Danio rerio: one gene and its partner. The protein of the gene in region 1 purifies or fractionates together with the protein of each later gene. This does not show direct contact. Links are inferred from orthologs where the notes say so. Each region holds a gene or a part of one and is shown in the gene's direction. Other genes may lie near its edges.

The links.
Region 2: the proteins of slc27a2b (region 1) and saal1 purify together in Homo sapiens (co-immunoprecipitation; 3 studies listed by BioGRID and IntAct, with this or other methods). This does not show direct contact. The link is inferred for Danio rerio from reciprocal best matches to the Homo sapiens genes SLC27A2 and SAAL1.

Annotation. Positions count from the first base shown.
Region 1 is NC_133200.1:34,731,637-34,735,467, reverse strand, and holds part of slc27a2b (very long-chain acyl-CoA synthetase precursor), read left to right. Parts: coding exon 1-52; intron 53-3,411; coding exon 3,412-3,606; intron 3,607-3,695; coding exon 3,696-3,786; intron 3,787-3,831. UniProt on the Homo sapiens protein: Mediates the import of long-chain fatty acids (LCFA) into the cell by facilitating their transport across cell membranes, playing an important role in hepatic fatty acid uptake.
Region 2 is NC_133200.1:8,891,916-8,895,746, reverse strand, and holds part of saal1 (protein saal1), read left to right. Parts: intron 1-1,490; exon of another isoform or gene 1,491-1,539; coding exon 1,540-1,702; exon of another isoform or gene 1,703-1,808; coding exon 1,809-1,891; intron 1,892-3,616; exon of another isoform or gene 3,617-3,627; coding exon 3,628-3,798; intron 3,799-3,831. UniProt on the Homo sapiens protein: Plays a role in promoting the proliferation of synovial fibroblasts in response to pro-inflammatory stimuli.

The DNA of each region.
Region 1 (3,831 bases):
TGTGATTCAGTATATTGGAGAAACCATGCGCTACCTCTGCAACATGCCAAAGGTATAGCAGCATTTAAAAAGCCAAACTGCACACAATGATCACACAACCTTACTGTTTACATCTTTAACCATTTGAAGAGAAAGTTTTGCTAGCTGAAGATTTCTCTTTATAGCCAAGAGTTGAACAAGCTGTGTTGTTAAGCTGTTACGTTCTCCAGAAAGCAATGATGAAAGAAAGAATCCATATATATAATGTGGAGCCATTCAAAATGACCTCAAAACACACAGCAAACATACAAGCTGCGTCCCAAATCCCATACTTATGCACTATTCTACGCCATTTTGTAGTATAAATAGTGTAAGTAGTGCGTTCACACTGAAAACTCTAAAAATAATAAGTGCACTTTAATTACCCGGATGATGCACTCATTCAGCCGCTAAAATTAAGTGTGTAATGATGGACACTTCACGCACTCAACGACCGCAGGTTTGCTTACGTAGCGGAAGGGGCGGAGCTATCGGACGCACATGTTGAATAACTTTATTTAATTTGGATGGTGAAAGCAAAATTCTTTTACGAGAGTGATTATAGCACCTCCCGATAGTGATTGCGGCAATACTCACGGCAGGTATTATTTGATAATTCGGTCGTTTATTTCACTGATATGGCGACTGTCAAACGTCATCAGGAAAACGGTTTGAATTTCCGCTTAGTAAAAAAAACATTAGTGTGCCATTTGGGACGACACTACATACATATACTATCCTGTTGAGTGTGTAAGTGCATAAGTACATAGTGCATGAGTGCATAGTGTATAGTGTGCCATTTGGGACGCAGCTACAGACTTCCGCCTTTCTGAAATCTTCCATTTGTTTTTTTTTTCAAGGAAAGGTCATTAACCCTTAAAGGGGCACTTTTTTTGGTCCACATCTTGTATTGAATAATATGCTGGCACAACTCTAAAAAATAGTAAGAATCAATTAAAATGATAATGATAACTATAGCAAAATTAGCATATAGCTAATTTTGATGAATTAGCTCTAACCTTTAACAGTTTTTCCTTCTTTTTACGCGGTTATACGCTCATTATATTTCACACGTGAGGTGAGTGAAATTGAAATTAAAATACAAAAGGTACTGAGCCATTACTACAAGTAGAAAAACTAAACTAAACAACAATTATACTTTAAAGGAGAACATAGACGTTTCGAAAACAAACTGAACTGAAACTACATTAATAAAACTAAACTTGCGGCTTAATTTATTTAATTTGCGGGACTTTATTTATTTTTATTATACTTTTAGTGATCTGCTTGAGGTAGGTCAATTTATTTTTATGCTTTTGATGAAGCAGCATTCAACTTAAGCTCTTTAGACCATGCACCAGACCGTTTCTGAGTGTTTCGCTGCAATGTCTTAAAATAAATAATTATTTAGGTCAATTTTCATTATTCATTAATGTTTTAATATTTGTTTATTATTATGTACAATAATTGAGACATAAAATGAGATATGATGTAATATGAGATATAATGTAAATAAAAACAAATGAAAAAGCTTATTTAATGACTGTCTTAGTCCTATCAAAACAGCAAACGCTGAACATCTCTCTATTTAGGCTAAAATATTGCTTTGTTTATTTATTTAGGCCTACTTATTTGTACCGAATGTTTGTGCTTTCATTTTAGTTGTCTTTTAATTCTTCATTTCTACTTTCCAAAGTGAATCCTCATTGCACTTAACTAGTGTACAATGATAATAAAGGGTGTTAACAAATTTTGATTATGATTAATGAAGGAATTATAATGCTTTGTTTTATCATTTCATCTTCATTTATAAGCACAGTAGCATATTTACAGCTGCTGTATAGGCTATTTCTGTCCATTTGCATCACGTCCCTTTGTGCCCCCTGGCGGCATATTCACAAACTGCGGTCATACATTAAAAACACATGCTTGCCCATTTAAAGTGCCGTCGGTATAAGCCACGGCGGTAATGGCCACATTGGTCAACCAGTGGTTATGATGCCTGTTAAAGGGTTAAAGTAGTCTAGCACACTGAACTAATGCAAACCCAAATCAGAAGTATGGAAACGCAAATGAAAAAAAGAACAAAGGGATTTCTAAATTTACTTTGACTAGTAAAGTCAAATCGTCTGAATCAAGTCTGATCTTTATTTTGTATTTTATATTGGATTCATCTCAGGGGATTGGGTGGGCCATTCTACAGCTTGATTTTTTTTCTCTGAAAGCAAGTTTCCTTGGCTGTGTTTTGGATCCTTGTCTTGCTGAAAAGTCCACCCTGGATTCATCTTCCTCATCCTGCTAATGTAAATGTTTGACTAAAGCAGGTAATATTCATTTACACTGACGATGGGCAAAGGTTTGCAGAAGAACTTCTGAGGAATTTCAGGTGCAGTCTGGGCTTTCACTGCCTTTCTACACCTTCCTTTTTTCATGTGTCCAAAACTTTTTTCCTGTGCCATTTCATTTTGTTAGACAGAACTTCATTTGTTAATCAGTAATATTTGTTAGAATTATATTTGCATATATGGATTTCTCTGGTCGTATCCAACATCTGGGGAAAATTTCAAGTCAACGGCATCTTTAGAAATATGTTTTCTGACTAAAGTAGTGACGTGTTTAATACTTATTTCCCTCACTGTAACTTGAAAATAAAGAGAATGCACAGATCAAATAAAAAGCTTTGCTGCTGACTTTTTTCTCAGAAAACATATTTCTAAAGGTTCCGTTGGCTTGAAATTTTCACCAGATGTTGGTATCAACCTAAGAAATCCATATATACAAAGACAACAAAACTTATTAGATTACAAATGAAGTTATGTGTAATAAAATGAAATAACCCAAGAAAAAAGTATTGAACACATGAAGAAAGGGAGGTGTAGAAAGGCAGTGAAGGCCCAGACAGCAGCAGAAATCTCTCAGTAGTTCTTCAGCGACCATCGTAAATGAATATCAGCTGCTTCATTCCAACATCTACATCAGCAGGAGGATTAAGATGAAACCAGGGAGGACATTTCAGCAAGACAATGATCCTAAGCACAGCCAAGGAAACTCTCAAATCAAGAAAGAAAATCAAGCTGTATAATGGCCCAGCCAATCACCTGATGTAAATCCAATTGAAAAAGAAATCAAGATCAGATTTGATTCAGACGATTTGATTGTGACACTCTGTTGAAGTCTGTGAAAATATCACAGCTGAGAAATGCATGTGACTTCATTCTCCATATGAGAGGTGTCTTTAAGCTGTCATCACAAAGTATTAAATACATTTCAATAGTTCAGTGTTTTCTCCTTTTCCCACTTTTTTAATGCCCTTTTGGTTTTTCTGCTCCTCCTCTGTGCTCTATCTTTATAATATGCTGTTTTTTCCTCATGTTTGTTCTCTCGCTCTACAAGTGTGTTAGTGACCAAGTGCACAACGTCAGGATGGCCATTGGGAATGGCATCCGGCCGGATATCTGGAGGACGTTCATAAACAGATTCGGTCATGTTGAAATCAAAGAATTTTACGGCTCAACTGAAGGAACTCTGGGCTTCTTGAACTACGCTGGCAAAATTGGGGCCGTCGGTACTGTCAATTCTTTTCATAAGGTAAACTACCCACAATTCAATACTGTTCCCTCATTCATCATGGGAGCTGGACAAAAATGACTTATGTGCGCCAATTTGTGTGGTTTTAGAAACTGTACCCGTATGTCTTCATCAAGTTTGATCATGAGAAAGAGGAGCCCGTCAGAAACGCTGATGGATTTTGTATTGAAGTTGCAAAGGGCAAGTAATATGGAGCCAATAATGTGACAAAAGGATTTGAATTTG
Region 2 (3,831 bases), about 26 Mb from region 1:
CCCTCCCCACCGCATCTCTCCTCAGACACGTCGCGCGCGCACCCTGTCAATCACCACCAAACCACCACCTCTCCTGACAGTTTAGCGGGAAGCTGCAAAATAAACCCTGACACTCTGACTAATGTAAGGAGAGTTTACTCACACATGACTAGTTTTAGCTCTTTTGATCCGATTAGAAACTTTGCAGTGTGAAAGCGAACCGCTCCAAGAGCAAAAATGTAACAATTGTAATCTCTGTTTCGGAACAACTGAATCGATTCACAGGTGTGAAAGCACCCTTAGAATATCACTTACCAGTTTGATAATGATTTGATCAGCTGTAGTTAGAAATATGCTGTTTTAATCTTCTAAGCAAGGGCTTATTATGCAGTCCTGGCGCCATCTTGTGGATAGACAACGTCAACCAGCTTTGGCTAATTGATGCCAACGTGCTGTCTCCCAGAAAGGATAAATATTTTAAAATAGGCATTTTATCTTATAAATAAACTGCATAGTTGCAATCTACACAACTACATTTTCGACTAAAAAAGCTTTAAAAGTACATTATGTTGTCTAATAGCTGCAATATTTGTCAAACTGTAAAGTGTCCTCTTGTCGCTGTATGTGGGCGGAGTAATACAGAAGAGTGAGGAGGCTGTACATATGCTGTTATTGCAGAATATGGCACGGCTATCAGCCAATCAGATTCAAGAACCAGACAAAACTGTTGTTTAAATAAAATATTATAGATTATTATATATAATATTTACAACTATCAAAATGTGATATTTAGTAAGTACATTAATTTAAGTGTTACGTCAGGGAGTAACACCAACAACTCAGGTATATGCAGGTTTATTCAAAGTCAGGCAAGCGATGGTCAACACAGGTGCAAACAGGTATTTAGAAACAGTCCAGAATCACAGTCGAATACAGGCTAGAGGTCAGAAAGGCAGGCGGCAGGCAAAGACAAAGAGGCTAACAAGGCTAACGGTCGGTACACAAGATAACAAGACAGGCAAAACCCGTTGTAGTGTTACTAGTGACAGATAACAAGACTCGGCAAACTGAAGGGGTGAATGTGTGGCTTAATTAGTGTGTGTTAATCAGTCTCTGACAATCTTCAGGTGGTGTGAATGTAATCAGTCTAGATGAGGAAGCATGTGCGAGTGTGACCGGAGTGCATGTATGAATATGTAGTCCAGAAATGGTGGATTTGTAGTCCATGGTATTTGTAGGTGCAAACCAGCGATCTTATGGGAAATGATCGCTGGTAATCATGACAGTAAGAAACAAAAACATGGTGTTTTAAAGAAAACACAAATTCTAAAAATATTTATATATTAAAAAATGTAAAGGTGAACATTTATTAATAAATACTTCTGCTTCAATCAACTGATTATCAACTTGTATCAATTACAGTGAATTAATAGTACATATATACATATAATTATAATGCAGTTACGTGATGTGTGTGAAAACCTTTCAAACTCTTTTAATCACATGGTTACCTGTGTCTGTGAAGTTTGTGGACTCTTCCATGTGTCTGTATCTCCGCAGTGGATTTGCTGTTGAAGGTTGGGGAGTTGCTGGATAAGCTCTTCGATGAGGATGAGGAGCTGATGAAGAGCTGGGTGTCCACCTCACACAGCGGGACTGACCTGCAGACAGACAACCAGCCGGACATCCTGTCCTCTCTGCTGGAGGCCGCCAAGCAGCTCAGGTAAGACGCACAGTACAGGAAAACCTGCCGAGGGGATTACCAACCAGCGTTTTAGCTGGAAATCTGAGTTTAGGGTGATGGAAATGTGTGTTTGTGTGTGTTTTAGATCAGAGAGTCCGGAGGCTCTGGAAGTGTATCTGCATTCACTTCAGCTGCTGACTACAGTAGAGGAGGGCATGCAGGCTCTGGGTGAGATACACACACACACACACACACACACACACACACATTTTTTTATTTGTTTGTTTTTCTGTGTGGTTTATGATGACTTTTACTGAACATAATGATTTTTATATTGTACAGACTGTATATTATCTTACCCCATCCCTCACAGAAAAGTAGTGGCTAATTTCAAATCTCAAAAAACTCTGTTTAGTACAATTTAAGTCTTTTGATTTATGAGAACACAATGTACATGTTGTAGTTCGGTATCAGTCTTTTATTTGTTTTAAAAATGTTAATAATTAACCTTTATCCGGCCCGGATTGGCTAATCGGGAGGACCGGGAGAATTCCCTGTAGGCCGGTCTGTTTTTTGGCCGCGAGGGCCGGTGTCCCTAGCTGCTTGCACTCTCAGCAGTCACACTTTTTACTTCAATTTATTTATTTGGCAAAGCTTCACTCTTTTTATTCATTATTTTGCCGCAGTGCAGCTTCTTTTTATTTATTTTCTCGCAGCCCCGTGAGAAAAATGCAGCCTGCAGGTTAACTAACGTTAATGATGATAATGTAACTATCGACCCCAAACAGCAGCACCTTAGTGAATATAAGAATTCGAATAAAATGAAAAATACACCTGCTCAATGAAAATCAAATGATTCACTACATTAATAAATCTGACATAACTTGATCAGAAATCTAAAAATGGGAGAAAAAGATTGAGCCACCAAAAGAAAGTAGTGCTGTGTCTTAAGGGTCGCAAGTCATTAATTATTTTTTACTCTCACTGTAATAGCGCCATTGTGGTCCAGTGGTAAGCACGTTGCGTTTCAAAGCCGCGGACCCGTGTTCGAATTTCCCCTGAAAAATTTTTTTTTTCATTTTTATTGTTAAGACATAAAATACTGTTAGGGCTGTTGAACATTTGAATTTCTAAAGCAGCAGTTTTCTTGAAAAATACGTGATAGTGCCATTAGAAACTGAACTGAGGTGGGCCGGTCTGGCTTGAAACTCCAGGGCTGAAAATGAGTCCCACTCCGGCCCTGACCGGTATATAATGATTTATTTATTCATCTAAATTATTTAATCATTTTCTTCCGCTTAGTCCAGGGATGTTCAAGCTCGGTTCTGGAGGGCCAGTGTCCTGGAGATTTTAGCTCCAACTTGCTTCAACACACCAGCCAGCAAGTTTCTAGTATATCTAGTTAGTGCTTGATTAGCTGTTCAAGTGTGTTTGATTAGGTTTGGAGGTAAAATCTGCAGGACACCGGCCCTCCAGGACTGAGTTTGGACACCCCTGGCTTAGTCCCTTAATTATCAGGATTTGCACAGCGGAATGAGCCGCCAACTATTCAAGCTTATTTTTTATGCAGCGGATGCCCTTCCAGCCACATCCCAGTACTGGGAAATCATTCAAATTATTGTATTAATATTAATTTTATATAATATTAATAAATTATATCTTTTTATCATCATAATTTTTGTTATTTTAAAGCCCTAAATTTGTTTTATGACTATGATGCTGATAAAATGTTGCAATTATGATAAACATCTCACTTTTCTTCAAATCAGTAACCGTTTATTTTACACATTTATCCTTACACATTTTATGTGGTTACTAGGGCAATTACAGTAAAATGTGCATAATTGCATGCAAAAAAAACAAAACAAACCACCAATGCTATAGTTAGATTTTTTTTTTAAATGTATTATTATTAATATTGTTTTTTTTTTTTTCTTTTGGTCTGATTTGTACCTGATCTGCAGTTTCAGATGAGTCGTGTGGTTCTGCAGTGTGGACGTTCGTCTGTGAGCTGCTCTGTGAGGATTTCTGTCAGCCGGACGATCCACCGCTCATCCTGCAGGAGCAGAAAGCTCTTCTGGCACCGGCACTCGCTCTACTGTCAGCGTTACACTCCAGCCTGCACACGCACATCAGTAAGAAACACACACTTTACATACACCAACATT